Linked DNA regions of Struthio camelus. The protein of the gene in region 2 interacts with the protein of the main gene of each other region in a pairwise test. Links are inferred from orthologs where the notes say so. Each region holds a gene or a part of one and is shown on either strand. Other genes may lie near its edges. The genes, in order: RALBP1 and GSE1.

The links.
Region 1: the proteins of GSE1 (region 2) and RALBP1 interact in binary tests that used the Homo sapiens proteins (3 or more experiments, as listed by UniProt). The link is inferred for Struthio camelus from reciprocal best matches to the Homo sapiens genes GSE1 and RALBP1.

Annotation. Positions count from the first base shown.
Region 1 is NC_090943.1:116,293,176-116,308,550, forward strand, and holds the start of RALBP1 (ralA-binding protein 1), read right to left. Parts: upstream 8,572-15,375; 5' UTR 8,362-8,571; intron 1-8,361. UniProt on the Homo sapiens protein: Multifunctional protein that functions as a downstream effector of RALA and RALB. As a GTPase-activating protein/GAP can inactivate CDC42 and RAC1 by stimulating their GTPase activity.
Region 2 is NC_090951.1:3,433,844-3,450,266, reverse strand, and holds the start of GSE1 (genetic suppressor element 1), read right to left. Parts: upstream 6,754-16,423; coding exon 4,804-6,753; intron 1-4,803.

The DNA.
Region 1 (15,375 bases), on a different chromosome or scaffold from region 2:
TATGATCTCCTCTGCTCAGGCATATTTCCATTAACATCAATGGCAAATCTTCATCAAGACTACACGAAGAACTTAGCCTTTTTGTAAATTTTAGGTTTTTTTTCCCCAGAATTGGGAATCATAAATTCTGTTTTCCACCTCTGCCCCAGATTCGCTCTATACCCAGAGGGAAAGTTCATTTAAATATATATAAGCTCAGTAGATTATTAATTATGATGAACACTACCACCTCCAGGGCAGAGATGTTGCAAGCTTCTTGAATGCGAACACTGAAAACATTCACAAATACACAAGGCAAGGTGTTGCACCACCCAGCTTCAGGGTAGCAGCTGGTCTGCACAGTTTTCCTCTATAGTGAACGGCTAGAAAGTACGGAATCCACCCTCTGTGGTCAACAGAGGCTTTTTCAGGGGAAGCACAAGAGGATTACTCAGTTACATTATGTACTGACCCTACTGATTTCCCCCTTCAATTCTATTTCCATTACTTATCAAGAATGTTCTGCGTCAGCAAAAGATAAGTAGAGTTTTATACAGCTTGTATGTCTGATTTGAGGTTGTTTGTTTTTCCTCACATTAAAGATAATATAAGTAAAAGAATTCTACATCTTAAGTTACCGTGTAGAATTCACTTAACCTTCACAGACAGAAAAAGGAGGCTGGGACTTCCTAGTAGAAAGGTTGCGAGGAAGAACTTGGAAACAAAGTTTGGAGAGAAAGCATTAAGCTGAGGTACTTTTGGTTGCTATTTCATTTCCTAACAAAAGAAATAAAACTAAAGATGGACAAAAAGTGTATGATGCTTACTTTGGAAGGATTTGGGTATCATTTAACAAGTGATGAACTGATATAGCAGCAGTACCCTACAAACAACCAGAAGTTCACAATATTTAACCTTATGCCAATTTACATCGCAACACAGCCTTACAAGGAAATTTATGTGAAACATCAGCTTTCTACAAAAAATGTATAAATATCTTAAGAATTTCAGATTAAGTTCACGTACATTTCCCAAATCAAGCTTTAAGTCATCATGTAGCCCAATGCAGCAATTTTTGGTAATCTTATGGCTTCAAAGCAAAACATCATTAGAAAAAAACCCATCCATATGCTATGAAATGCACAACAATTACTTTTATCAATTTAATTACTAAAATAATAAAAACAAATGAAATAATAACACAGATAGACATTAAAACTGTGTATGATCTGCCTGTGGCCAAAAAGCTCAGTACTGGACATCACAGGACCCAGCAAGTTTTGACTACCATTCCCAAATCTGTTTTGCAGCCTTGTCTACACAAGGAGAGTCAAGCTGTTTTTAACAAAATTAGTGCAATTAATTTAACAGAAGCCCTAGAATATCTAGAACAAAATAGTTTTGTTCTAGACACATGAATGATTCCAGGAATAACCCAGGTATCAGTGTAATTAAATGTTAAAAACACGCCTCTGTAACAAAAGCAGAGATGCAAAACAGTTGGGGATGGAAGGCACCTCTGAAGACCATTTGGTCCAACAGCCCCTGCTCAAGCAGGCTCAGCTAGAGCAGGTTGCCCAGGACCCTGTCCAGGCAGGTTCTGAATAGCTCCAAGGATGGAGACTCCACAGCCTCTCTGGGCAGCCTCTTCCAACGTTCAAACATCCTCACAGCAAAACAGTGTTTTCTCGTGTTCAGGTGAAGTGTCCAGTGTTTCAGCCTCTGCCCATTGCTTCTCGTCCTGTCGCTGGGCACCACTGAGGAGAGTTTGGCCCCCCGGCCAACACCATCCATTACTTCCTTATTTGACTGTTGATCGTTCTCTCCCTCTCCTGTCATTCCTAGTTTAAAGCCCTCTTTGCCAGGTTGGCCAGCCTGCTGGCAAGATAATCTGACTGTTGTAATGATACACACTAACTGCAAACTTCTATGACATATGCTTCCGTATGTTTTAGATGCGTTCAAAGTCAGACTGAAAAAGCATTCATAAAGAACTCGCAACCTAAGATAAAGTCAAACCACAATAGAAAAATTAACATCAGGTCCTCACAAAACTGTCAACATGCAAAAGGAATATTACAGGTAACGACATTAAAACTTCTCAGGGTGTTTTTTTTTTTTTTTGGTAGAGAATACAAATCTTGGCATAGTCTAAGACATTTGCGATATAGTTACTTCCAAAAAATTAGCTGTCCCAATTCACTTTGTCAAGGAACTTTGATCTGAATCCACATCTCAGTGTGAGAGTTGCATTAATTTACTGAACCACACCGACAACAAAATAAGAACTCTGTATATTCAACACTTCCTCTTTCATTTTGAAAGTTGCACTTCATTTCCCCCAACAACTTCTAAATCATTTTCAAAATAAGACAGATGAAAACCACTTGATTGCAGGGTTTGGGTTATATGAATTTTGGAGAACTACAAACTCAAATTTTCAGGATTAAAATTTCAGAAGCATCACCCTTCTTCTGTGAAAGATCATCCTATCTGATGTTAGCTTACAGTAGTACAACACCTAAACAAATTGTAAAGATTAAAACATCTAAAGAACAAGAAAAGTTGAAATCACTAGGCTGAAATAATCCAAAGAGTTTCTGGGTAAATCTATTCCATTGGATGTTTCTTCTGTAAGATCTTATATTTTTGGTCTATTCAATAAATTAAAAAGAAAATAATAATATTCATGAAGAGCTCTTTAGCCTATCTTAAAATTATAGTATCACTTCTCAAGCAACCACTACCAAAAATTTTTTAGAAGAGTAAGGGAGCAAACAAAAGAATACCTTTTTCTCATGTCCAGTTAAAACAAGATATTTCAGATTTTGTAAAGACTGGCATTATGCCTGTATATCAGCTGGTTCACAATATTAAAATATATTGGAGTTGGATTATTACAAATATAGGAAAATGTCTGACAACTAAATTGTCTTTCATCAAGCTTTCTTAAACAAAGATACTCAATAATAATTAAAAGTACCGTATTGCAAAAAGGAAAAAATAAGCAGGAACTATGGATTTCCAAAGTAATACGATGGAAAAACTCTACTAACACCATGAAACGAGAGCTTCATTGCTGGAGTGTTTAATTTTAGAATTTTCAATTTCCATTCAACAGAATTTATGCTAATAACAGCCAGTGAAAAATTTTTTTCACTGTAGCATACCACAAATTTCTGTTTTTTGAGTGGAGATGTTCATATTTAAAAACACATATGGGTGGGCTAGAACTGTTAAAAAAAGCAATCAGTCTAATTACAAGGATAAGTTAAATGTTAAAGTTCACAAGAACGATTACAGCAAGAGACATAAAATTACAGTTTCTTGCTCTTATGTGTAACTCCTATTCTAAAAAGTTAGGTATGGTTTTAAAGAGAACTGAAGTTCTTCCAGAAGTCTTAATTCAATTTTTGTGAAAAAGGGAAGCGGTAATTTTTTGTCATTGTGATAGCTCTTTTTCCACAGTAAACAGTACTACTGTAATATATTGTGTTTTTAAAAAAAAAACATTTATCCAGCTCAAGGCCTGGTAGCACCACAGGACTATGTGCAGTCCGATGAATTCCTTCCCACCGGATGTCTTTCTTCTAGCAAGAAGCTCAATTATTCTCTATACAAAAGCCCAGTGATCCCACTGAAACTGTGAAAGAGGTAGCAAGCTTCATACGCTGACTTAACCTAGATCATATACACAGAAACACGAGAGATTTCATATTATAGAGGACAAAAGTGAAACCTTCCTGTATTTTATATGAACTGCTTATGTTTATGAACACATGTTCATATGTTTATATTTATGTTCATATATGAACTGACTTGAGCGAACAGTTATTCACATCTTATCTATAAAACAGTCACCTTAAAACTAAATTTATTCTACTTACAATAATTTCCAGTTTGGTTCAAACTTGCATTCTGATTCAGAATTTCAAACCTTGGCACAGACTTACTCCTCATGCTTCCTCTGTAACAGCCATCTGGCCTCTTCCCACCTCATGCAAGCAGCCATCACTCTTCCCTTTCTTTCCTTTTATGTCTCCAGAGACTAAAATAGCCAGTCTAAAAAAGCTCAACATCTTGTGAGCAAGAAAGATAATAGGGAAGGCAGTGTGGAAAGGAGAAATCTGCTGCTACTAGTGCCAAAGCTGCCCCTTTGAAGTAGAGGTCAGCAACTACAGTTAGGCAAAAGCACATTCCCCAGCAGATACAATAGTGCATCTCTACACACACATACATTGTCTTCCTCAGCTTTGTACTTTGCATTGGGTTGTACTTGGTGAGAATCATTAAACCATCCCCTGTTTCCTCCAGGAAAGGCAGTGACCTGGATAGAAGCAAGCCAAGGATTGCCTACAGGGTCACACCATAAATTCATCTGTAACAGTAAAAACTCTAATCCTACTTTTTAAGAACTCTCCTACTGGAATTGATTGCTTAGGGTCTGCATTTCTTTCTCGTTTTCTCAGCACTTAAAACAAAAAGACAGACGATTAATGGTAATTATTAGGGGCAGGCCAGTGAGGATGCAGCGACTTAAATCACTTTTTTCAATCATTATTATATCAGAACCGTTACCTGATTTAATTCTGCACATAAAAAGCAGCAACACTGAATTTGATTATTTAAAACTCAATATAACATTGTCTCTACTAACCTCTTTTTTAACTGGGATGTATACCATAGTCATCCATTCAAGCTGTTAAATAGCTCCCTACACTTATTCAGATCGACATAACTATTATTTGGTGAGCACTCTTTTATTAGACTATTAGTTGCTTATTTTTTATTCAGTGTATTATGTTAAGATGCTTCTGGAACAAACTGGGAATTGCTGAAGAATATAAACGCTTACTATCTGTATTTTTGTTTGCTCAGTGTTATCTAAGCAACATAAGGAAAAAATACCAAACCACGTCCTCTATTTAAACATGTCTTCTTTACTTACCAAAGTAGTTCACTACTAGTAGGTGGTGAACTGACAGCTCTTAAACATTACCATCTCACATTTTTGAATTAGGAGATGTCAGTCTCCCATACCTACTTGAAATTCATAGGTTAGGCAAGAAAAATATGCCTTCCCCCTTTTCATTGCACAAGTAATAATAAATGAAACCAAGAACGTGAATTACATTTCTCAAGTGTTTTTGTTCAGCCATATTTTATACAGGTATTAACTTTTTTGATCTTCCTAACAAAATATCTAAAGCACTGAAGCCACTATACTTTAATTATTATAATCTTTTCTGCAATTTTTTCCCTACCAGTTCAAAAACTGTCACAATACTTTCTTTATGAATCCTACATAAAACAATTTTGCCTAGTACACTACCTAGTGAGAACACCATAAACTACGCTTTGACTGGATCACCAGTCCTACCCTCACTTAAGCAATTATATATATTGCTCCCCATAGCCCTTTCTAGCAACTTCTCCATGTAAACTGCCACCCCCTCCTTTCAACTAGCTTCTGCGGTATGTGCCCATCTACTACAGCCTAAAGAAAAGCGTGCGTGGTGGTGGTGGTGGTGGTGCTACTCAACGTACGAGATGAAGGCGTGCTGGAGGGCTCTTTCACTCCATAGTCCCCTCACAGCTTCAACTAACTGTGTATTTGCTGAAGCCATGCTCAACAGGGTTGATGGGCTGCCAGGGGGAGGATATGCAGGGAAGGGAAAAGAGTCATACCCTTCCTTTTTCCAAAAGCAACCTGCACGCTCACCTTTCTGGTTTGGGCCACGGCAGGCGGGAGAGAACTGCTATTTGGACAGTAATCATCTTTCAACACCATCCAGTTGGGCGATGCAGCCTAAGTGCAGGACTCCCCCAGGCTATATCCAGCCCAAAGGCAGGATCTTCTCTTTTTGATCAACGATTTCCGAACTATGGTGTCCAAGGTACCGGTGAACAGAACAACTGATGGATTCTTCAGGTGAAAGTCTGAAGTAGGCACATGGTGAACCACGGCTAGTTTTAAGGGTAGCGAGTGATTCACTGGTTCAAAATATTCTTAGACGCATTAGTCCAGAGTAAAGCTTAGTAGGTTATACTAACCATACAGTTAAATGAAGAAATAAGTCATACTATATTTTGACATTTAGATACCAGTTACATGACATCAACTTTTAAAGAAGGAAAATAAGTTTGCATTTGTCCGTATTTTTACACGGCAGCGTTGTTCATATCAGTCTGAAATAGCTTGTCAGAAACAGCACTGTTTACTCAGAAAACATCTAAGCCTTTGTTGTAAGAAAATACAGACAAATCATACTAGGGAAGTGCCTAGAAGATACGACTAAGATCACAATCCTAAAGTGTTAACATACAGTACACATGCACATCACTTTTGCTTTAACTACACCTACAGAACTAAGCAATACAGCACTGAAGCGATAATACAGTTATTGCAATACAAAGACAACATATTCCAGTATGGACATGCACATACAGGGAGGGAAATAAGCTACGCGATACAAGAAATCTTTCTACTGCATCTAAGTACAACTGCACCAGTGGTTTTACAAGTGAAAATTTTACAAACAACAAATAAAAAAACACCCCAAAACAAAATCCTCCAGCCCCACAAAGAAAAAAACCACATTTAATTAAGAAAGAATGATGCCAGAATTGCAGTTGAATTCTTAAAAGTCTGAAGCAGCTATTCCAATCTTCTATTTCCATTTCAGATACAGCAAAACTAAAGAACAGAAATTATTTTCCCAGAGTGATAGAGAAGAGATCCCTAGAACAGGAAACTTACAGTTCCCTGCTCTTCCATAATAAACACCCTACTATGGACATAATTACCTACAATATTACAGCATATTTTCAGCACATTTCAAACACCTCGAAGTAATAAACATTCAAAAACATAACTGTTCGGAAGCTTTTCTTCCCCACTTTTTACTCCTCTGCAGAAAAGAGCCCTCCACGAGTACGTGCCACACTGATTGCATAGGACTATATCAAAATGAATTATAAGTTGTTGTATGGCATCATTCATCAGAAGTTGCATGCAACATTTCAAATTATATCAAAAATGAAATCAAATGGACTCTTTAAAATTTGGTAATAAAGTCATATCTATCTACAATCAGACCAAACATAGCCTTAATATCACCCTTGAATTACACTGCATTACAGCGATGTTGAACATTTACAATAGTAGGTGCTTCAAGAGCTTTCCAGGTGAGAAATAGATGTGAGAAGGCAAATATTGCTGTTTTGCTATACTGGAACAAAAGACTTGCACAAATCCATCTATTTTATGCAACTTGTAAAAAGGTCCTAGCCAGTTATTCCTGATTGTTATTCTTCGTTGAGGATGACCATAAACCTTAGGGACAACAGAAAACAAACTGAAACCAAAACATTCTCGGGAAGAGATACTTTCAAATTATCACTGTGGTTTCTTGGTATTTTCATTATGGTTTGTCTTAAGATACTTAAGCGCTTAAGGGAAGAGCTACTTTTTTACTCATGTATGATGCAATGGTACATGATGTACACATTTTCTAAACAACATCATGAGGCAAGCAAACACAGCATGCTTGGACCTTGCTGAGCATACTAGGTGCAAAACTATAATGATGTCAATGAGAGTAAGAGTTTTCTACTTTTAAAGATGTAACCTCCAGCTGAAGGTAAATGAATAATAATAAAAAAAAAAAACTCATAGAAACCGAGGATGTAACCTAGAACACCTCTAATCTCAGCCTGAGCGACAGCAAATCTGACACATGCTTTGGAGCATGAGATTAAGGTAATAAGAAAATACGGCACAGGAGGAGCCTGACATCCACCCAGGGATGCACAATGCTCATTCTCATTAAGGACACGAGCGAAAAGAATGTCATCAGAGAAAGCCTAAGGACCAGATCCCTCTCCTGAGCAGTAAGACAGGAGACAAGACAGGGCTGGGACACATGGTCTCCGTCCCCAGCACTACCCCGCTCCTCCACTGGGGCACGCACGCCCAGCAGCTCAGCCGCCTTACCCCAGAGCTCTCAAGGGGGAAGCCCCCAGCCGGGGACCGACCACCCCTCCCTCCCCCCGCCGGCGGGGACGGCTCCTCGGGCAGCGCAGCCCACGCTGCTGCCCTCCGGACCGGCCAGGTGAGAAGGCGGCGTCTGCGGGCAGGGAAGAGCCGGCGACCCCGCCGCCCCTCACCCGGGGCGCCTGCCGGCTGGGGAGGCCTTGAGGCTGCCCCTCCCTCCCCCCCCGGGCGGCCGTTGCCGGGGGCGGGGGCAGGCTCCCCGCCACTCGTTATCCCCCCACCAGCCCGGAAGTGGCTTCCTCCTCGCCCTTCACCGGGAAACGAAGGCGGCCGGGCTGGAGGCTCCCGCCTCCGCCCCCCTTCCCTCCCCCCATCGGAGCACTAACCGTCGGGGTCCGGCTCGCCGGCGCGGCGGCTCCGCCTCGGCCTCACGCGCGGGGCCCCGCCTCGTGCCCCATTCCGCCTCCGCCGCCCGGCCCGCAAGGACGGCTCAGCAGCGGCGCGAGCTTCCCCAGCGCGCATGCGCCGCCGCCGCCACCTCCTCCGCGGCGCGGGGCAGAGGCTCGCGCAGGCGCAAAGCTGCCCAGGCCGGAGGCGGGGGGAGCCAGCGCGGGGGGGGGGGGGGAGAAGTAGGGCGCGTGCGCTGTAGCGTTGGGGGAAGGGCGCCGGGCCCGCGCGGGGACACCACCCCGGAAGAGGCGCTCTGCGCACGCGCAATAGGAGGGCGGGGAGACGAGACGGGGCAGGGAAGGAGACGCCCGTCATGTCCCTCCCCTGCCGCGCTTCCCCCGGGCGGGCGGGGCTTGCCGGGTATTGTAGTTCCCTCGGCGGAACCCAGGGGAAGGGGTAGCCGGTCGCTTTGCGGGCGTCGGACTACAACTCCCAGCGACCTCGCGGGGTGGAAGGCGGCAGCCGCGTGTTAGGCGGCTTCGAGGTTCGAGGCGCGGCCGTGCTGTCGGCCTCGCTCGTTCTTCAACTCCCGCGAGCGCTGCGCTGAGGGAGCGCAGGCTGTTGCGGGGGCACAAGAGGCTCCTGCCTCGATGGCTTTCCGGCCCTCGTCGGTCGTGGGGGCTGCCGTGCTCTGTGGTGCAGGACCCTGGCCTGCGGCAGCTGTGGGCCCTGCCGGGGGAGAGAGCTCCTCTGGCAAGCAGCCGGTGGCGTCCTGGGAGGGAGGCGGAAGGCCGAGGTTCACCTGGAAGCCCTGCGACCGGGGTGCGAGGGGAGCTGGTCCCAGCTGCAGGCAGCGAGGCACTTTGGGGCCAAGGGCTGAGTGGAGCACCGCTGAAGGGGGTCCCCGGAGTGACCCCTTCAGCACTCTTGTTTCAATGACGGAAAAACTTCATAAAGTTCACCGAAGGCGCCCTAACCAGACAGGAACAAAAATCTGCTTCTTTGAGCAGTTTTACGAGAAACATAAGCATTGGGAACGATTCATCAAGTAGTCTACGACTAAACCTGTTGTGAGATAAACCCCTTAAAATTTTTAACAGTGGAAAGTCAACAAACGTTGAAAGACACGGAACACAAATGCAAGAGCTGACACAGCTCTGTAGCTGTTTACATCCAGCCTGCTTTCTCAATAACATTGCTATCGACTTCCATGTTTACAATGCAAAAGAGAGCAGCCATCTACTTTGGCTTCATCTTGTGCAACAGATTTGAGCTTGCATCATTACCAGTTTGTCTTTGTGGCATACAAGAAATTGGAGAAATACTCTGTGACTCGAGGAGGTGATCTGTGCCAAGAAACACATCTCCAGCTCAACTCGCATCCTGTTTATAGTGATATTAAAAGAATTTTGTATTCTTTGTCTCTTACCATACAAGTTTCTGATTATGTTAAGCACCTGCATATCTTGAATCCTTTTCAGGATTCCTAATCAACAAGGGAATTTGTTCCAGTAAGAAGCAGACCAGTTCATTCCCACAGCCTCAAACATAATCCCTAAGCTATTGGACACATTAATACTGTGGCAGTGTGCCACCTGCTTCGTTTATTCACTTGAGATTCAATGCTCCTTAGTCCTTGTCAAATGGGTTCTTTGTGCAACCTTCTGTGGTAATGTAAAAGGTCCCCCACAGGAATTTGTGCTATTCAGTAGAAAATACAAAAGGGAGGGTTGTAAACACTCTGATTAGTGTTGGAGCACAGAGATATTGTCTCCACAGCATATTACATAATCATGCAACTCTCAGTTTCCCTCCTCCCTCCCAGAAGGAACAGTTTAAAGGCAAGTACTTACTGTTTTATTTAACTTAACATCACAGCTAATGGTTTTTGTTACACAAAGGCTGTATTATTTTTGGCAAAAGGAGGGAATGGTTTCTTTAGTAACATCTATAGTAATTTGAGATGATTGCCTGTAAGGGTCTCCACTTGAAGTGATAGTCACTAGAGGCTCTCAACTCCAAAGAGTAAGTAGTATCAGAGGCTGTTGTTAACATAAGCTCACAAACACTAGGCCCATCAGCTGATAAACAGAGAATGAATCTTCCTCCATTTTTTGCTGAAAACAAACAAGTAATTGTGTGCAGTACTGGACCAGCTTGCTGCCATATGAAATACAATTGGGTAATTTTAAACTTCAGAAACCTCATTGTGGTCCGAGGCCTGCTTACGCAGACTGAGACACATTCTTACGCCCTACACCTCCTTACATTCACTCTTCATAAATTCTTGCTGTTTTAAGGACAAAGTCAAGCAAGGATTCTAAGATGACAAACTCTCTGCTTTGAAATTCAGTCTTGCTTCTGTACCTGAGCCTCATAAATGTTACAAAATAATAATGGAGTGGTGGTCTAGAAAGCATTTTAGAAAAAAAGGAAAAAAAGCAGAGCTGTGTAAGCTGTGACTGCTTCAAGAAAGCCAGTTTTGGGTTAAGTTTGTCTTTTTATTAGTGAAAGATAGTGGGTACATCTTCTATTTGGCAGTCTGAAATAGTGCCTGAGAAACCATTTTAATATCTCAACTTCCAGGTTTACTCAAAGTTAAAAAAAAACCTCCTTTAGTCCATGTAGTTACATCTGCTGGTACCACAGATGGACTCCCTATGACACTGAGCACTGTCCTTCTTGCTCATAAAACTGAAAGAGCTATGTATGAAGTGGTAAATAATAGATATCTTCCAGAGATCAATTCAACTTCATGACTAAAGGCCAAAGGGAGCACAGTCATTTTATTATAGACACCTCCAACTTTCCTTTGTTGACCAAGCACATATTTGAATTGAGAGGATATCATAATGGAAGACTTGTTTCCATAAAGATGAGGAAAGTCTGTGTGTGGCAGAACTGGAAAGAAGAAGGGCCTGCTCCCCCTATGGCCCTCTCTTTCTTTCACTCCTGTCTGCACAGCAACTTCTTTTGAATGGGGAGAGGACACGATGAGAAGTGTTCACTCAAAACCCTTTGAGAGATGGGAGTCTAAATGGGCTGTACTATTCTGTGATAACTTTAGCACATTAGATTCTATTAAATTGTCTACCCTGGTGGGCAAACCACAGGTAGACACACTGCTTAATTCTCATCAGCCATAAAGAAATACACAGCAGTCATAAAGAGGTATAGCTGATGAAAGACACTGGCCGGCCACATATGAAAACATGCATGCAAAACAATGACAGCTTGAATACACCAAGGAAAGTGCAGAAGAAATAGATTAGTTAAAATCTTCAAAAAGCTAAGTTATTCATAGGAAGTATCACATAACAGGAGAGAACAGAGCCAGAAGAGCGATATGATAAAAAATCAGTTCGCTATACTGAGCTCTGCCTTTACAACTCCAATTAGCACTACGGAATCACACTATTCGCAGATCTTTGTTGTAAGAAGAAAATTTAAAAAGACATATGCAGTGAAAGGATATTAAAAAACTGGACCTTGGCAGCCTTCTTAGCTAGATTTGTTTGAAAAAGACTTTGTTCCTTCCAATGTCTTGTTTCTAAGTATACTTTAACTACATAGTACTTGGTCAAACAGATCACGCCAAGAACTCATCCATCAACACTGTCGCACCTAGTGGGAAATCTCAGGACAAGCTTTTTTTTTTTTTTTTTTTTTTTTTTAAACCCCAATAGACATTATAATCACTAATATGTTAGGTTATGTGATAAAAGACTTGTTGACGCAAGCACGAAAGAGCACTGAGGCACGATGGCAGGTGGGGGAATCACAATAAACCAGTCAGAGAAAGGAGCCCTGGGGCCAGGGGGACCCTTAACCATGAGGAGCAGCTCTGTGAGAGAGAGCGTCTGCTGGGGGCGTGGGACTCGGTATGGCCTGCAGGGAGGACTGTCTAGGGGTTGTACAAAAATTCCTATATGATGTTTAGGAGGAGGACCACAGGAGGGGAGAAGGAGGGATCAAAGTGGTTTGGGGAGGAACAAGTGTGGGAAAATAGTGGGATAAGGAGATAAAAGGGGCTGGACAGGTGCAAACAGGTTGCACTACGCTTGTCTGGCCATGCCCTGTGCCTCACCACCACTCTGTCCTGTCTGCTCCATAAATTCTATTTCTAGCTCTCTTCCTGTGTGAGGGGGCTCTATTCAGTGTGTGCATGGAGGCCTGAGTGCCACCACAGCGGGGCCACGAGTCACAGGGGCTGCGTGTCTCTCGAGTGCCACACTTCAGACACCGGAGCGTGTGCATATGGTGTGGGTCTGCACGTTGGCGTGTGATTGTGAGCCAACGTCAAGCCGGACTAGCCGGTGGCAGGGTAAGTGGCTTGGGAAGGCAGACAGAAACCAGAGGAACTGCGAGTTGGCTACCGGAGGCACCAGGATGTCCAAGTCAACTACTGGGGAGACAGCAGGTCCGGGGGTTGATTGATAGACCCATTTGTATGGCAACTAGAAACAAGAGGATCCAGGGCCAGCTACAGGCTTGACTGAGCATCTAAGGCCAATTACCAAGAGGATCTGGAGCATGTGAGTGTGCCTGTGCAGGTGTTGGTGTGTGCGAGTGGGGTTGAGGGCCTTGACCTGCCCAGGTGCCAGCAACTGGGGACACCTGGGAGCCAGGACCAGTTACTAGGCAGAATGAGCATCCAAGGCCAGCTACTGCAGAATCCATACTATGTGTATATGTATATAGATTTCCCATAATGGACCTTCATCCTGAAGCAGGGAACAGGATGAGGCTGTTGGTGCCATTCGTGTAACTGCTGAGTGCTTCTGTCTGTGTTGGTCACTGTGGCCGGCTGTGTGCATGTGTTGTATACGTGTGTTTACGTGTATGCCTACTGGGAACATGTGCTCAGCCTTGCTGCTGGCTGGACATGGGAACCTGGAACTGTGGCAGCCTCGCCTCTTATCAGGTTATCAGTTTTGGCACACCTCTTAACATAGTAACGCGTCCAGAAAAAAACAACAGGAAGTGACTGTGAGCAGGCCAGTCGCTGAATGAACTAGTGGCTGTTATTAGAAATATGAGCAGGTGCCCTCATAACCATTTTTGAAATACCAGATATAAAATCTACTGGATTTATTAAAAGCATGCTAGGAAGCCTAAGAAATCCCATGAAATCAATGTCACATTATGACCATATCACTCACTCACCCTCTCTGCAGGGCATCGGTTCTTCTGAAATCTGGGAGCAACAAGTGCCTGTGAGAAAAAACACTTCAGTACGACAGCTGCAAAAAAGCGTCAGGAAGGTGAGTTTCCAGATTTACAAAGCTCACATCCTCAAAGAACTGTTATGCCCTGACAAAGACTGACAGGAACTTCAGAATCCCTTAGTACACTTTCTCTGATGTGCAGTGGCATTGTTTCTGGGCTCACAGAATCAAAATACAGGCACTATAGCCTACCTCTGCTGTTGTACCTTGGTATAATTTTGGGAGCAGCCAGTGAGGTACATCAGTGTGAATCAGCCAAAAGGCTGATCCTAGGAGTTAGAGAAAGCATGCCTGAGATGCATCGATTGCATTAAGGTCTCTCTATTTCCAATTTCATGCTGCCGTCTGTGAAGACTTAGCCCAGCAACTAGTGTTCCAGGAAAGGTGACTTTTCTTCTTTTCCTCCTAGGCCTTAACAAAGAACCTGTCCTAAAGGTGTTCTAATTCACAGCAGCTGAAAAAAGAGTCTACACTGCACTCTGCTTTGTACTTCTGCTAGAGATCTCATCATCCTCTGATCAGTATGGCTTCAGTCTTAATGGCAAGAAGGGCAGGACGGCCTGCAACTAGAGGAATTGCCTGTAGTTCCCTCCAGTTCCCATCATGTTGTCACAGCAGCCTGCTGGGAGGGCCAGGTGCTGTCCTAGGCTGTCTTCTATGCCTCTGATTTCATTCTACAGTGACAACTGAGTTAATTCCCTTTTGTATTACATCACTATTTCCAGAATGACATGCATTTCTGAAGTTTTCAGAATGCAAAGGTGAAGGAACTAGAACTTTTTATGTATTTCTCTACTTTTAGGGAAAGAATAACAAAAGGCATTCAACCCCTTCTCAGACAGAACCCCAACAGACTGCAGAGATTTGTGTAATTCCCTATTACAGGCACTCCCTTTTTTGCTTCCCTTTACGTTTAGTGATTTCCAATTGTGTCAGGAAGGATAGTGATAAAAAACTGACCAATGCTTTACTTAGATAAGATTCTAGCTGAAAGTTTTTTAAGCATGTCCTTAAGTTATTTAAAGCGCATATGCAGGTGATGGTTTGCTCATCTCCAGGCCTAAGCACAATAAGAGCCCCAAAAATAACTTACGATTTTCCTTGCAACATGAATTAGGACTAAATGCACAACCGTCCAAAATGATTAATTCCTCTCAGAAAAATCTTTTTCACTATTAAGCAAGTTCTTCTTTACTGATTTATCTGAAGGAAAAACTATTAAGAGCCGACGACAATTTTAGATTCGGAAGAGACTACTATAAAAAGGTAAAAATTCTCTGTGTTATTCTATCAGTCCAGAACAGTAACAATGGTCCTTTTATAATATGCTTCCTAGTAACTTTTGCTCTGAGAAAATCATGAGAAGGAAACCACATAGACCAATGTCTTTTTATTAAAATACCTCTTAAAACACTCGTAATAATAAAATACGTTTGATGTTGCTGTATGACGTTTGCATACATACAACGCTTACAGCAAACTCTAAACAGCATCGAGAATTACAAAAATAAGGCAAGCCTCAGAAAGTGTGCATCCTCACTACCTACTTTCAGGCCCATTACACAAAGTTATCAAATTTTGAAGCTGTTTCCCCACAATTTTTCCTGGACATTTATTAGAAGAGTCTCTTCTACCCTCCAGTTATCCACCCACGCTATTCCTTTGACTTGACATCATAGTGAAATCATAATGATGTAAATGAATATTGTGTCACAGATCCATGGCAGCAGGCTCCTATCCAGAAACACCAGCCCTGTTTTTTCCCCAAGAAGATTTTGAACT
Region 2 (16,423 bases):
TCGATCCCGCTGCCAGCGCCGGCGAGCCAAACTCGCTTTTCCCATGCACAACTCCCCTCCCTCCCCCGGCACGTCCGGAGGCCGGAGCCCCGCTCCCCGGACGGAGGGCGGCTGCGCGCTCCCGAGCGTGGCCGGCTGCTCCGGAGGAGGACGTGCCTTTGCCTGGGTGCACAGCACGGGTGCGCGCACCAGCGGCGGAGGCACGGCACGCAGCGCGGTGACCCTGGCACGACGTAAGCCCCGCAGCCAGCAACGGGCTGCCTCTGCTAGCTAGCAAAAAGGTTTGCGGTCTGCAGCTCTGCCAGCAAAAGCAGATGCAAACGATGCCCCAAAAGCAACTGCTGGGTTACACCCTGCTCTAGCAACACGCTGCTCCAGCAGTGAGGTGCCCAGCAGCTCTGCCAGGGGCTTACTCGGGTTCAAGGCAGAGCCCGGACCGGCTCTGCGCAGCCTGCATGCTATCGGTTTTAAAAACTGGATCCAAACATAGCCCAAGTCACATATGCACACGATTGCCCCCCTCCTGCTGCGTCCGAGGCGTTTACAGCTTGCTACGGGAGGGACACAGCCTACACCTGCTCCCCTCCTTTGATCCCAGCCACGGGGCCACCAGCTACGCAACCCTTACCAGAACAGAAACCAGGGACGCAAAGTTGCGGTTTTACGGCACGTTATAATTTTTCCCCATGCTCCACCTGTCTTTAACCTCTCACTGCTCCAGGGGCCATAACTACCTCTCTCCATTTCAGAGGCCTAACAACCCTATCACCTCTCCCCTCCCAAGCAGGTCCCTCCGGTTCAGCAATGCTAAGTGTCCTTCTCTCACAGACGCTTTGATGGACGCGTTTTATGGTTTCCACAGTGCAATTGCCCTCGACACCTGCTGAGCTCAGAGCTCGCTGCCTCTAGCCCCAACGCCCCGGGGAGCGGCAGCGCTGCTAGGTCAGGACGTGGCGCGAACCAGGGGCAACGTTCTCCATCCTTCCCGCGACCCGCAGACCCTGCTCTCGCCCTGCTTTCCCCTGGTGAGAGTTCACGGCAGCACGTGTTCACGCTCCCGATAGCTCTCCCCAGCCTGCGGTCCGCTGTCGGGGCCGCACAGCCTTGCTTCGCCCTGCCTCCGTTTTCTGCGAGAAAACCTGGCAGCACCCAGAGAGGGACGAGGCACGCAGCCCACAGACAAGGGCCCCAAGTGTCTGGCTGCCTCTCTGCGGAGCTGGCCAACCTCCCTGTCTGCTAGCAAAAGAGGTGAAAAGCCCAAACCCACCCGCACAAGCCCGCAACAGCCAGATTTCTGCAGCAGCTCCTCTCCCAGGCGGCCACAGCGCTGCCCAGCATTGCTCCTGCTCGCGGCACGCCAGCGAGGAGCACGGAAACCACCCCGGCAAGGAGCTTACCTCAAAAGCCCTCCCGCGCCGGCCAGGACCGCAGGCAGCCGATCCCACCTCTGCAGAGAGCACAGCACGACCTCTCTGCTCCTCGACACCCAAACCTGCAGCTGAGCCGCCACCGCACCTAAAAACACCTGAGCATCATCCATGCTAACGAGCTGCAGCAGTTGTTTCCCCTCGTTAGCTGCTCAAAGCTGTTTTGTAAATTCCCGAGGAGCATGCTGCTGCTGCTGCCCAGCTGAAGGGAAGGCTGTGCCATGGCAGTTGGTGCATTTGCCCAGCACCCTGGCACGGGGTCTGAGCCCTAAACTTTGAGCTAACTGGCTTTGGCTCAGCTGCAGACCCGGCCGCGGCAAACCACCCCCTCCGCGTGCAGGGGGCTGTCCGCCCCGAGCGTGTGAAAGAAATACCTGCGTTCCAAAAATAAAACTGCAGAGCTGCAAAGGAAGAACAGGGTGATGGGTTTAACCCATCCCCTCCTGCCCAGTCCGGTTTTAATGGGCACCGCGGCAGAGCAGAAGCGCGAAAGGCTTTGCACCAAGGGTTAGAGGCTCGTCCCGGTGACTTCCAGCAGCAAGTGCCACTGAACGAGAATATAGCTGAGCGGGAGAATAGGCTTCTCCCATTAGTTAAATTAGCCAAATGCCCTACCAGCTCATTAAGCCATGTTTTAAATAAACTTGACATTGGGGTGGTCTCAGCCTGATGGGAAGCGGGTAAGGACAAGGGAGGCAAAGGGCAAGAAGACCTTGTGGCCACCAAGAGAGTCGCCACCGGGACGCAGGAGAGCAGCACGAAACGAAACGGTGCCTGGACCGGCCGTGCCCTCCCCGAGCGACTCGCCGGCGAGCCGCTCCGCGACGACTCCTGCCGCGTGGCGCCCATCGGAGCGGCCCCTTAATTTGCTCATTAGCAAACTCGGGAACAAGAGCGAGGAATTCAATAGTCTCCCTCCTCGGCCCCCGATGCCCTCCTCCTCCTCCGCCACCGCTCGCATCCCCACACAAAGGCTTTTCAGAGCCGGCCGAGGTTGAGGCAGGACCACGGGCGAGAGCCCAAGGGGACGCTTCTCCATCGCCGCTCCCGGGGCGGATCCGACAGGGCGGCCGGGAGCAGCACCGGGGCAGCGGGAGCTCGTGTCCCCGGCCCCGCTGCCGGCTTTCGCAGGGGGCCGGGGCCGGTCCCGGATTAACGAGCTGGACCTGGGAGCATCACGGGATGTCTGCGAAACGCACAGCTCCGGGGTGGCAGCTCGCGACGCCGCAGGAAGCACACCCGAGCGTCCGCCGCTGACGCCCGCGCGATGATGGACGCGCTCGGAAATAGTTCGCCTGTCAGTAACACACCCCAGCAACACCTGTTCCCTGGCCAACACCGCAAACTACCCTTTGGCCTGGTGACACTTCCAAGGGCGGAAGCGTGACACGGGCTGGGGACAGGGACCGGGCAGCCAGAGGGGACGCAGCCGGCCGCGGGGCGACCCTGCAACCTTCGCCTCGGCGCTCTGGTGGAAGAGGAGGCCTTTAAACTCGTACCGACCTCCTTGCGGGGGTCGCGATGCCCGGGGTCCCCGCGCGCGCGGGATTTCCCGAAGGACGGCTCCGCACGTCCGTCTCTCCGTATGCCCCGCGGGAGCGACGGGTAACAAGCGCCAGCGGCCCCGAGGAGGGAGCCCGCCAGCGCCCCGCTGCAGCGCGGGGATGCTCGCGGCCCCGCGGCCGCTGCGGCGCGCACAGCGAGTTGCACGCGTTGGAAGCGGGCTCCCCACGCAGCCCAGCCTGCGAATAAATCACCCGCCCGCGTTCATGAATGACCTGCATTGATGTCAGGTCAGACTGGCTGGGACTGATGCGGCAAGGGAGCGCCCGGGGGAAACCGTTTGAAAGCAACGGCTTCCGGACGGTTCCCGTCTCCGGTGCCAGCCCAACCTCCCGCCGGCGCCGCGCGCCGACCCCCCGCCTCGCGCGGCTCTGCCCCGGCGGGCCAGCAGGCGAGCCACGAGCCCGCAGCCAGCACGACGGTCAGAAAACTGCATTTGCAAGCGGCCCGGAGAGAGGAGGGGTGAGGGGGGCGAAAAGGAGCGCCTGCCTCAGAAGGGCTGTTTCGCATTTCTAAAGAAAACGCCAGCGCTTGAGAGAGCCACGGGGTTCTGGCTATGGGCAGAGTCGAAAGACTTTGAAAGCGAGCTTAGGGATTTTGGAGGCTGCTATTTTATGAAGCCCAGTCCGGGGCCTGCTTTGCAGATACAGAGCATCCGCTCTCCAAGAGCTGCGCCGCTGCCAGTCGGAAATCTGGGGACAAAAGCAGTAATTTCCCCGTTTCATGAGAAAGACAAACTTGCTGTGAGTAAATTTTCTTTGCTCTTTTGTACGACTTTCCACATACCCGCCTCGAAGCATGCCATGTAACCCAGCTCAGGGCTTGTCCGCACCGGGATGCGCAGCAAAGAATAACCCGTAACATAAATCAGACGCGACCGGGTGACACTGAACTGACCACTGAGTCTGGACAAGACCATCCACATAGAACTGAAGGAAATTAAACCTGTCCGCTTTAAATTCTGCTTTTTCGAACATACGGATCAACTTGAAGGAGGCAGGAGGAACTACTCTCTCCTACAGATAAGGAGCACGGAGCAATCGAGAGCCCGTGTCCCTGGGTCCCCAGCCCTGCATCCAGAGGACACATCTCATCGCTGGCTTCGGATGAGCAGAGGCTCAGGCAGGCTCGGCGGCGCCGCGGGAAGCTGCCCCGGGCTCCCCTCCCGCAGCCGCACAACGGCAGCCCGGAGCGGCTCAGGGAGCCCGCACACCAGCTTCCCAGCTGCAGGAAGGACTCGAGTTTCTCCTAAAGGAAACCGTTTCGCTCGGGCGCCTTATAAAACCAAAGATAACTTGGGAACTTTCCTCCACGGCGGAGGCGCCGCGCTCCTTTGGCCGGAGGAATTTCCCGAGGATCCCGTCTGCCGCGGGCAGGCCGGCCAGCGCTGCTGGCAGGGCACAGGGGCCTGTCAGACTTCCCCCTGCTCTGGCAACTATTATTATCCACGATTGAGAGAGGTACAAGATCAGGATTTCCCATTCTGGCCACCTCGAATCACAAACAACCCCACCTCCTTTATCCAGGGCTCTAAAAGAGCTGGCGCCAGTAATACAGATACGTGTTTTTGCAACAGGACAGATCTTGGCTCTCTTGAGCCTCTTGGAAGGATTTCTCTCCACTCCTTTTCGGTTTGATGGCTCCAGAAGTTCCTTGCTAACAGCACCCCATTTATTAACATTCGCCCCCAGGGATCCGACTCAAAAGATGAGCATCCATCTGTAGCACCGCTCTAAATTGTACTTGATGCCAAAATCATCATGTCCGGGAAACGACGGGAGGAGAGGGAAGGGGCCCGGGCCAAACGCCTTACCTTGGGGAGAAGAGCCGGGGGCGCTGCTGCCAGAAGCTCTGGGGGCGTCATGGTCTTGCCAGCCAGGACCACGGCTCCGCACTCGGCACACGCGCCGATGGTCAGCTGCTTCCCGTCATCCACCAGCAAGCTGTTGGCCACGCGGAGCGTGTAGAGGAACACAGGGAGCCTGGCAACTTGCACCGCTTTTAATCCAAGGCATCGCTTCTTCTCCTGGCGGCAGAAGAAGCAGACGAACGTCTCCACTTTGTACTGCCGGGACCAGGCGCTGCTGGGGTGGTGGGAATTCCTGCCCTCGTGCTGCAGCCACTGCCCGAGCAGGTCGTGGTAGCAGAGCACGCAGGTGGCCACGAGCCCCGTGGAGTCCGCCGGCCTGGCCCGAGGGGCGGGCGGGTAGACCGTGAGGAAGGGGAAAAAGGGCTCCTTCTCGCCAAAGCGCCCCGGCGGGTTGACGTTGAGCTGGAACTCCTTGCCGGCTCCCAGCTCGGCCCCGCAGATGTAGCAGACCGATGTAGGGCCAGGCTTGATGACGGGGTGCCCGGGCAGGCCGCTGGGGTCACCGGCGGAGAAGACCTGGTGGTACCTCCCCAGGAAGCTCTGCACCGAGGTGATGAGCTCCTCGTTGTGGCAGGCCCTGTACATGGCCCACAGGTCCTGCAAGACGCCGTAGCACTTCCGGCAGCTGCTCACCTCCCAGTGCTTGTTCAGCCCCTTGGCGCTGGGCGGGCAAGGCAGGAGGCTGAGGAAGGGGAAATGCATGGTGCTCTTGGCATTCCCGTTGGTGATCTTGGCGGCCACCAGCCTCGCCTCTTTGCCGCACTCCTCCCCGCAGAGGTAGCAGGCCTCGGGCGCCGGGGCTGGGCCTGCCCCGTCCTCCTTGAGCCCTCGCCTGCCCTTGGGGGGCATGCCTGCGGCACCGCCGTTGAGGGGCACCACGTAGAGCCGCTGGAGCACGGGCACGTTGGCCAGCTCGAAGCTTTGCCACTGCTGCATGAGGGAGGCGAAGCAGCAGGGGCACACCAGGGTGCTGCCGGCGGGGGACAGGGGCTGGGCGCCCGGCGGGGGGCTGTGCAGCCAGAGGAAGGGGAAGAAGGGCGCCTGCGACGTCTTCTCCTGCTTCTGCACGTGGACCCGGTGCTGCGAGGCGGGCGACAGGGGGCTGCCGCAGATGTAGCAGACGGTGCCCGCCGCCGGCGCGGCCCAAGCGGGCCGCTCGCCTTCCTCCTCCTCCTCCTCGCTGGTGATGTTGATCTCGCTGTCCTCGGAGGAGCAGCACGGCAGCCCCCGCTTGCCCGGTGGCGGCGGCGGCGGCGGTGGCGGGGGGGGCCGCGCCGCGCCGCCCGCCCCCTCGGGCTCCGACAGCGGCTCGGCGTCGGACAGCTCGGAGAGCTCGGAGCCCGCCGCCGGCTCTTCCTCCTCCTCCTCCTCCTCCTCGCCCTCCTCCTCCTCCTCGCCGTCCCCGGCGGCGCGGCGCGGCGCGGCGGCGGGGTCCCAGCCCGGCGCCCCCCGCCGCAGCCCGGCGCCCCCCCCCGCCGCCGCCGCCGCCTCGCACTGGTGGGGCCGCTTGAGCCAGTACATGCGCTTCTCCACGGGCGTGCGGCTCCGCTCGAAGGAGTCCCACTGCTCGCCGAGGAAGCAGCGGCAGACGGCGCAGACCAGGGCGCAACCCTCCGCCGAGACGGCGCGGGCGCCGGGCGCCGGCTCCTGGTGCTGCAGGAAGGGGAAGAAGGGCCGGTGGTCGCGGGGGGGCCGCACTTGCAGCTTGAGCTCCTTGCCGCGGCTGATGCCGCCGCCGCAGATGAAGCAGCAGAGCGGCGGCGCCGGGGGCTGCGGTGCCCCGGGGCCGCCCGCCGCCGCCGCGCCGCCCTCGCCGGCCGCCAGCGCGGCCATCAGCCGCTGCTTGCGGGAGAGCGGCGCCGCCGCCGCCGCCCCCGGCCCCGCCGCGCTCATCGCCGCCCCCGGCTCATCCCGCGGCTCCGCCGGACACGCAGGCTCGGGGGGCGGGTTTGCAACGCTGCTTCTCTCCCCCCCCCCCCCGCCTCTCCGCCCCGCCGCGCCCGCCCCCGCCCGCCTCCCGCTCCTCCGCGGAGGAAAAGGGAAAAAAAAAAAAGAGAGAGAAAGGAAAAAAAAAAAATAGAGAGAGAGAGAAAAAGTTCGCTGCGAGAAAGTTTGGGTCCGGCGGCGGGCGCGGAGCGAGCAGGCAAGCAGGCGAGCAGCCGCCGCCGCCCCGCGCTGGCCCCGCCGGCGGGCGGCCCCGGCGCCCCCGGCCCGGCTCCTCCCCGGCCCCGGCCCCCCCCCGCGCCGGGCTCGCCTGCCCGGGGGGAGGCGGCCGGCCGGGACGGAGCCGCAGTTGCGGTTAGGCGGCCGCCAGGCTCCGGCAGCCTCGGCGGGAGGGGAGCGCACAGCGTGGGGGGGGGGCGGGGGGGGGACAGACCGGCCCCACGGAGCGAGGGGGGTGGGAAGGGGAGTGCATTGTGCAAACCGGCCCCACGGCGGCGGGGGATTGTGCCAACCGACCCCACGAGGGGAATTTACCCCCGACCCCGCGAGGGGAACTTGGGGACAGACCGACCCCGCGAGGGGCATTGGCAAAGCCCCCCCGCCCCCCGAGCGGGGCTACCCACGCACGGCGGGTGACCTCCCTCACGCACATCCCCTTGCAAACCCCCTGCCCCTGAACCAGCACAAAAAGGCAACTGCAGCTGGCAGCGTCCGGGACTGCGCGGTCAGCAGGGATCCTGTGGCGCTTTGCAGAAGACACCAATAATGTCTCTGTCCTTTACAGTGCTGCGCACCAGACATTAACTCAGTGTCCTGACCGAATACCAGCCCCGGTGATTTATTTCACATTTAAAAGTCCTGCTGCTGTTCCAGTTCAATACCAGATTCTATTTCCCGCTTGGTCCTAAAATGCTGCATCGGTTTGCCACTCACTGGTAAATAGCTGATCTGTTCCCAGCCAGGGCTGGCCGCATTTCAGCGATGCATGCAATAATCCCTGTATAGCCTTACCTGCCTTGCAGCCTATGATAAGATTTAATGCTTGTAAAGCACTTTGCTGTCCTTGGACAATCGGCACCGCGGAAGTGCAAACTGTGCTGAGGTCCAGCCACAATTAAACCTGGCTTATTAACCACCCAAGCATCCAGTCAGCATACCCACAGGCTCAGCAGAGGTCTCCCAATAAAAAATAGGTATTATCAGCCATAAGGATATTTTCAAGCAGTCGTTTTAGGAGGAAGCCTGCTCCTGATGGTATTTTTGAGTTCATGGTTCGCTCCAACCCCCGCCCGGTCCTGTTCTTGTAAAGCACTGAGCATGTGCCTGTCTCACTGAAGGGTGCTGAGGACCTTCCAGGATCAAACCCAAAGTATGTAAGGGCCAAGTAGGAGGCAAAGTCAATAATTGTGATAGGACACAGGGAGAGAGGGGCTGCGAGAGGCCCCTCAGCTGGGGTGAGCGTTACGGGACCGAGCTCCGAACACGTGAGCCGTGCATCGGCACACCGGGCCGAGCGCAGAGACGCCGCGTGAGGCCGCGTCAACCGTGTCACTGCGCTGCGGCCGGACCGAGACCTCCACCAGCTCGGCCCTGCGGGGCTCAGCCAGCCCTTGATGTCACCTCCGTCCTCGGCTGCCGGTGACAGCGTAACGCGCTGCCCAGCAACTGGCCATGAGATCAAGCAGATTGCGTGACATCAGCTGGAGCGCGAGCAGGGGGCAGAAGGACTCTCCGGGGCTGGAGATCCAGTTTCCACGCAGATGGCTCCAGCAGGACAGAAAAGGGGGGGGTAGGGAGGGGGGGGAGACGCACAAAGCGGAGAACACGATACCTTGGGCGAGCTGGGACTTTTGCAGGGTTTTCCAGAAGACAGCAGGGCCTCGTTGTATTTTATTTATTTATAGGCCTGATGTTGTAGCTGCTCTATGCACGGAGGGCGTTGGGAGCGTGTTGGAGTGGACATGACTCACATGTTCTCTAAAGGTGCATATGGCAGCGCTTCAGAGCCTCTCGGCGCTGCCCCTTTCCCTGGACGCGTCGCGGCCAGGAACGCAGCTTGTTTCCTTCCAGTCCTATTTGATGCACCACAGTGGTAATCCGAGATTTTTTTTTTTCCCTCCCAGAAGAGCAGAATTAGGCAGCAGGGCGAGGGCAAGAAAGGAACCGGCCCTATCTGTACAGGCTGGGATTTCCCCGCCGCCGTCACAAGCCCCGGCTCGGCTCGGGGAACAAGGAGAGGCGAGGGATCACCCTGCCCTCCGCCGCAGCACGGCCCGGCTGTGCGTCACGGCAGGATGAGGCCGTGCTGCGTGAGGCTGGGGTCCCTGCAGGAAGAAGCCAGCCGAAGCCTGCACGGTTGCACCCCGCGAGCATCCCAGCCTGGAGCAGACCCTCGCGGAGAGGCCGGCAGATGCTCTCCCGCCTGCTCCGCAGATGGGCGAGGAAGCGGCACGGCCCGTTCACGCAGCAGCGCTGGAGCCCACCTCCCCACCCGGCCCCCAACGCCGGCCCGCCGCTGGGCTCGCCCCCCACCGCCGCCGGCCCCTGCTCCCCGCCGGCACGCAGCCTGCCTCCGGGCGGCTTCCCGGGCCGCGGCTGCGCTTGCACAGAGCGGCTCATTTATCATTCTGCGCCGCCTCGGCCCTGCGGTCGTCGTTTGCAACGGAGAGGCTGGGAGGGAGAGCGCGTTTCTCAAGTCGGCCTCGGCAAGAACTGAAAACATATGCCGTGGCGGCGAAGGCGTCCCCCGGGGGCGCGCGGCGAGCCGGGCGAGCCTAGCGCAGGATTTTCTGCCGCGGCTCCCTCTGCGCCAGACTGGTGCGTTAAAGCGAGCTGGGGGGGCTGGGGACGGCGGCGAGGTCCGCTCCACCGAGCGCCCCCGGGCTGGACGGCTGCAGGGGCGAAACCGCTGCAACGGAGGCAGGCGGCCTTGGCCGTCCCACCTGAAACCTCCTTTCCGGTTTGCAATGCAGGCACCAAACACCCGTCGCGCAACGGCGAACCCCGCCGGCGTCCCTCGGAGGGCAGGGGAGAGCCTCCACGTGACCCGATTGCATCAGGGCTGCGAGCCCAGAGCCTGTTGTGCAAGGCGCTGCACGAACGGCCTCCCGCACCCTGCCCGGCTGCGCTAGACCCAGCGCCAGCCCCAGCCCCACAGCGCTCCTCGGCATTGCATCAGTCCAGAGCCCCAGCTGGGGACCGGGACCCGGACCCGGACCCAGACCCAGACCCAGACCCGGACCCAGTCCTGGTCCCATCCACACACAGCAGTCCTCACCAGCGCTGCACTCTGGCAAATGGGCACATGCTGCAGATCCCCCATCTCCAGGCTCGGGAGGTTAATATGGAAATTACCAACTGCTTATTCTTTCCAGCTGTTGCTGTGAGTCATCAAGTGCCTTAAAGAGCATTTCAAACAACACAGTGCCTTCGAGACAGCGTGACTGTTCCCCCAGCCACCCCCTCGGGATAATCCTCCCCGGGGTCTGCTGCTCGAAAAGGGAATGTTTCTCCGAGGAGTCAGCTCCCAGCCGTGCATTAGCTGGGCAGGCAGAGCAGGCGCCCCTAGGTGCGCGCGGGCTCCCGCCGCCCTGCGTCCCCGCGGCTCCCCGGAGCGATGCTGCCGGAGGGAGAGCTCCACCGGGAACAGCCCTGCGCGCGGCCGGCTCCCCCCCAGTGCCCTGCTCTGCCGCCCGTCGCTGGCGTCTGGCCTTTTCCTGCAAATCCCACCCGGAAATCTGTCCCCAGCAGCTGGGGGTCGGACCGTGCGAGGGGCACCGGGGACAGAGCCCGTTTCTCAGCTCACGCCTGCTCGAGCGGCGCTGGCTGGGGGGCTGCGAGCCTGCATGCTCGCCGCGCACCCCCCCCCCCAGCATTTTGCTGCTCCGCTATGTGAAATGATTTGCTGCCAAACCCGCTCGCGGGCCGGGGAAGCTCTGCCAGGGGGGTCGCGTGGCCGGGCCCCAAACCCCAAGTCGGCGCGGCACAGGAAGCAATTGCACGGCCGCGGCGGGTTATCCTCTCGCCCCCCGAAAGCGAGGCACGGGCCGGCGGCCCGAGCGCCGCCCCGTCCCCTGCCCGGCACGAGGCTGGCAGCGCCGGGACCGCGGGGACTGGCCTGCAGTTCGGCGACCTTGAACTCAGTGCGAAACAGCTGTATTTTTCTCTGCAAGCTGTGCTTTTTTTTTTTTTTTTTTTTTAAAGGCTGATCTATGCACTCGTTTTGTGCTTGTTTTTCAGATGGGAAAGATAGGGCTGGTTCATGGCAACGTTCAGAACGTATCCTTTGGCTGACAATTTTTGGAGGGTCTCAAATGAGTTTTTTAATTAAAGTTTTTTTCAACCATTCTCCTGGAAAAGCCCAGACAGCTTTTCTCCTCTTTGTCAGCGTTTTCTCATCCCCCCCCCAAAAAAAAAAAACACACACACAGAGAGGGGTGCACGATGGAGTTCCCCCTGCCAAAAACAGAAGAAATTTAGAGAACAAAAAAACAGAGGGAAAGCTTTCACTGGAAAACAAGAGCATTTCACGCGCGCACCAGCCCACGCAAAGGGAGCTGAGTCTGGGAGGGGGCCGGGCAGCCAGGCAGAGCGATGGCAACGGCTGGCGGTGGCCCCAGCCGGAGCAGGGCACCTGCCACCGCGTCCCCGTCGCGCTTGGCCCCCGGGCGCCGGGATGGGCTGGTGGTGGGGACAGCCCTCGGGTCCGTCCCCGTGCCTCCGGAGCCGGCCGGGCACCGCTGCCGGGACGCGATGCTGCGGAGCCGGAGCGGCTCAGCTCGGCTCGGCTCGGCTCTGCGCAGCCCTTCTGGAGACGCTGCGCAAACAGGAAAAAAAAAAAATGATTCCTGCTCCTGTAACAGCCAGAGGACAAACGGGAGCCGGGGAGGCTGTTCAGCGCCAGCTCAGCTCCCGGCCCCGCAGTCACACCTCCAGCTGGGGACAGCTGCGTGGGCGCACGTGTGTGCGTGCATGCGTGTGCGCATGTGTGCGTGCATGCGTGTGTGCACGCCTAAATGTGAAAGCAAAGTGGAGCTCCAGCATCTTAGACACACCTGCGGGTCCCCCCATGGGTCTCTGTCAGGTTTAACCTTCTCACCACCCGTCTCAGCTCACCCCCATGCAGCCCACCTTGCAGCTGGCCAGCGCCGGTTGCTGGTGTATTTTTGGGAAGGGGCTCCAACGGGCCACGGCAAAGATGCCCTCTCTGGCATCACGGGGCCGGACTGGGGCTGCAAGAGAGGAAAACCCAGAGGACGAGTTCTCCAGGGCCCAATCCCGCCCGTACCACCCTGGCTCCCAGCGCCGGCCCAGCCCGCCCGTCGGCTCCTTCCCGCTCGCAGGGGGGGAGCGACGGCCCCGGGCGAAGCCCCGCGGGCTGGTGGGCAGCGCTCGCGCAGAGCCCGGCTCCTGCCGGCGGCGAGGCGGTGATTCACGGCGTGGCACCGTTCCCTGCGAGGCAGGAGGGAGCCACATTCCCCCAGCACGGCACCAGGGCTGGGTTGCTTTTTTTTTTTTTTTTAAAAAAAAAAAGGTTGTTTTTTTTTTTCCTTTCCAGAACGAGCTGCTCTGCAAATGCCAAGTGCTGATGCCAAAGGGCCGTGTCAACAAAGAAGAATGAGTGTGGCTGTTAGAGGCTGCTATTAAAAAAGGGTGGAGAAGAGGGGGAGGGAGGGGGAAGAAAAGGTTTGTAAGTGCAAATATTAACATTTACAAAGCAGTTAAAATTTGGGAGCACCAGCCGAGCCCCTGCATCGCCCGGGGTGGGATCGGGGCGAGCGAGGAGTCTGCAGCCCGTGTCCTTCCCGCGCGCAGCCCTGGGGCATGCCCACCTCCCAGGGACTTGGCACCTTCCCCGCCGGGATCTCGGAGGGTTTTCTGAGCCCTGCGAGCATCTCCCTCCCCGCGGCGGCTGGAGCCCTGCCGGAGAGGGTGGCCTGCGCTGCTCCAGCTCAGCTGCGGGGCTGCTGCCGCGGCAGCCCAGGAGCGCCGAGCCCCGGAGCCGAGCAGGGGCTCCGGTGCGGGGTTTCACCGAGACTCGGGCGCAGGGAGAGGAGCTGGAGAGGGGCCAGCCCTGGCTGGAGGAGTCCTCTGCGGCGCTCCCCTCCCGGAGGAAACCGGCAGCCGTTTGCCCGACCGCACGCCAGGCTGCCATATGCTCGAGCTTCCCTTCCTCGCTGTCTTTGCCCAGCCTGGCAATCGTGCCTGGGCAGCGGCGGGGGGTGCTGAGCTGGGCTGCGCGGGGCTGCAGGGCCACCCGGGCACCCCCAGGACCTCCCCACGGACCCCCCCGTGCACGGACCAAGGCGCCCCGGTGCATTGAGCTTGCTGGAGCAGGGCTGGGGGCTCGCCTTTCCCGGCAGCGGGAGCAGCCCCCGGCACCGCAGCGAGCCCGGGCGACGTCTTGCTGCATGAGCACCGGGAGCTATTTCTAGGCGATCACCGGCCGTGGCCCAGCGGGGCAAGAGGAAAGGCGGCCTCTCGCCTGACGCCGAAGATGCAACGGGAAGACGCGGTCTCTGGTTTCAGCTTTCTATTCCCGGCCCGTTATTCACGGGTCGAAGATGCCAGCTGCCCTCTCCTGCCCGGCTCGGGGTCGCTGGCACCCGCGGGGGCCGGGCACGCGGCGGCGGCTCGCGCTGCCCGCGGCCAGCGGCGCTACGCTGCTTTGCACCGGCGCAGGGCTTGGCCGCCGGCACCCGGCACGTTTTTCACGAGAGGAGCTGGCCCACGGCAAGCTTTTAAGTCAGCCCTTTCCTCCCAGCCAGAGGAGCCCGGGGAGCGAGGCGCCCTCGACCCAGCGGGCGCAGGCGGAGGCTTCGGCTCGTGCCCGGCCGAAAACCCCTGTCGGCTCTGCCGATCGGCGGCTATCTGCTGCCGGGGGCGGTGAGCCCGAGCAGGCCCGCGTAGTGCAGCATGGGAACGTGCAACACGAGACGCGTAAACATGGAGAGATAAACAAAGGGCAAAGCCTCCTCCAGGATGCCGCTCGAAAAGGGGGGAAAGTTCGGGGTTAGCACCAGCGTTTGCTCAATTCTGACTTGTACACGTTTTCTGGCTGGCTGTTTTTAAAGTGCGTTTTCGGCTTGCATTATCCCTTTTTATGCTTTTCTACCGGAGCGCGCTCCGTGAGTTTCAGAACGGTGATTCTTTGGTGTCTGTGCAAGAAGAAATGTGGTAGGAGGAGGCTAAACCTCCTCGCAAGGCCCCGTTTGGATGTATTCCCCCCCCCCGCACACACACACACACAAAAGAAAAATTTCATCAAAATTGAGATGTTCCCACAGAAATCGGCATTTCCCGATGGAAAAACACTCCATCAGCAGAACGCTGACCCGCTCCGGTTACAGGCTGGTCACGGTGATGAGGCAACGCAGCTGGGAAAGGAATTAAAAGGGAGCTGGGAAGCTGCGGGGCGGCCAGGCCCGGTTCGCCGGTGTCTGGCTGCCGCTCGCCCGGCCGCCAGCGGGCCAAGCGCCCGGGGCGGCCAGCGCGGCCGAGGCGCCGGAGCATCCTCCGCGGCCCCGGCTCCCGCGGCCCACCGCAGCCCAGCGCTGCTCATCCGTGGCTCCGACGAGCCAAGGGTACCAGCTGTCCCCAAGGACGAGCTCGCCAAGCAAGCCGGCGGCTGCCAGCGCGCCCCGCCTGCTCCCGTTATTGGGAACATCTTGCGGGATTTAGCGAACCGGCGAGAGCAGATTAGCAGGCCAAGGGCTCGCGAGCTCAGCAGGTTCCCTGCCGGGGCCGGAGATCAAGGTCTGCTGCCGGTGTCTTATCTGCAAGAATTGGTGGAAGTGCTTGTTTGTAAGGTTCTCCTTTGCCTTCGCTTGGCCAAGTGATGGACGGGTTTTGTTTTGCTGCTGTTTTTTTTAAGGCAGCCTGGAAAATACAGGATGCCTCCTTGCAGAAGGAATCAGGTATCGATCGTCCCTTCCCAGCCCGACTGGTGAGGAAGGAAATTCATGCGTTGGAAAGATTTTGCGCGGGGCAGCTGTGCCGAAGCGCCCCTCGGGTACCCGCCGGCCTCGGTGCGTGGGAAGGGGCAGAGCCGCCCGCCTGGGGAGCACTGGGCACAACGGGGACGTTGGGCTGGACCCAGGTCGCCTCCTGCTTTCTGGAGCCGGCAGGGAAAAGCGGGCTGGAAACGCGCAGGGTTCGCCTGCGGCAATGTCACCTTCCCGGGGAGGAGTCGAGCCTGGATGGCTCCCTTTGCCTTCCGCTAAAAGCAGCCGTCGCGGAGGGATGCGCTCGCCCCGCTGGAGTCAGCAGAGACGAATCCTGATCCCTCGGGGAAAATGCTCCTTCACCCTGGCGGGCTCCGGGCACCCCCAGCCCCGCTCCGGCCGCCAGCCTCTCCCGAAATAAGGGTGCATCAGGGATCGGGTCCCGAGACAGCCCCGTCCCCGACCTCTTGGCATTCCTCCCCGCTCCCACCCCCGCAGTAAATCAATGCCAGCAACGTGAACTAAAAACAAGTTTATCTTAAAGGCTTTTTTAAACATATATAAAAAAATACAGCTTCATCGGAAAGGCACTCTTTTTTTTTTTTTTCTTGGGGGTGGCGGGGGGGGAAGGTTTATGCCTCCCTGGAGACCTCTTCAATAAAACGCGTTCTGGCTCTCCGCGCGTCTGACTGCAAATCAGGTTCCAGCCGTTCCCTTCCTGTGCCGACCTGCTGGAGTCTGCTGTTATTCTTGGCAGGGTGCCCCGGAGGAAGACAAATCCCCCCCCAGCTCCGAGCGGCTGGGAAATGCTGATGACATGACACCTTCCAGCATTCTTCAAGGTCAAGAGGGGAGGGAGGGAAATGCAAGGGGAGGAGGGGGGGCTTTTTGTTGTTGTTGTTGTTGTTGTGAGCGTGGGTTATTGCTCCGCTCAGGCGTTTCCCTTTGATGCTCGCGCCTTGTTACGCAAGCCGCCGGCTCGCCGGGTGACCACGCGCAGCGCCCAGCGCACGAGCTCGGCGGGGCCGAGCGTGTCCCCCCGCTCGGGCCGCGACTCCCCGTGCTGCAGCCCAGCGGGGTTCAGCCTGCTGCCAAGCCCCGAGAGGACGCTTTGGGGATGGGGATGGGGTCGGTCCTCGGCGGCCGACGGGTGCCGTTCGGCATCCTCAGCAAGCGCCGCCGCCCGCCGAGACGCGAACGTTAGCGAGGGCACAAAGCGGCGGAGGACCGCAGCTGCCGCCGTACGCCCGGGCCCCGCCACCGTTTCGGCGCTGCGCCTACGCCCGTCAGCGCCAGGGGGTTTCCTGGCCAAGGGAGGCGCTTGCTCCCGCGACGGCCCCGCTGGGCACGCGGCGGTGTTTGCTCCCGGCGCCCGCGCTGGCCTCTCTCCGCCACGACGGGCAAAGTCGCCCTCGGCAGATCGCGGGCGCTGCAGCATCCCGCGGGGACCGGCAGCCTCCCGCGGGGTCTCCTGCCGCCGCGCTCCTCTCTCTCCAGCAAATCAAGCTTGGCACCGCTCTCCCGGAGAGCCAACAAAGCTCTCCTAATCCCCCTGCTCCGGCTGCCAAAACCTCCTCCTCCTCGCCGCCGCCAAGGTGCCCGGCTCTTCGAGGCAACCTGCACGCAACCGTTAATCCCGACGGCAGGTAATCGCCGCCGCTGCTGCAGCCGGCGCG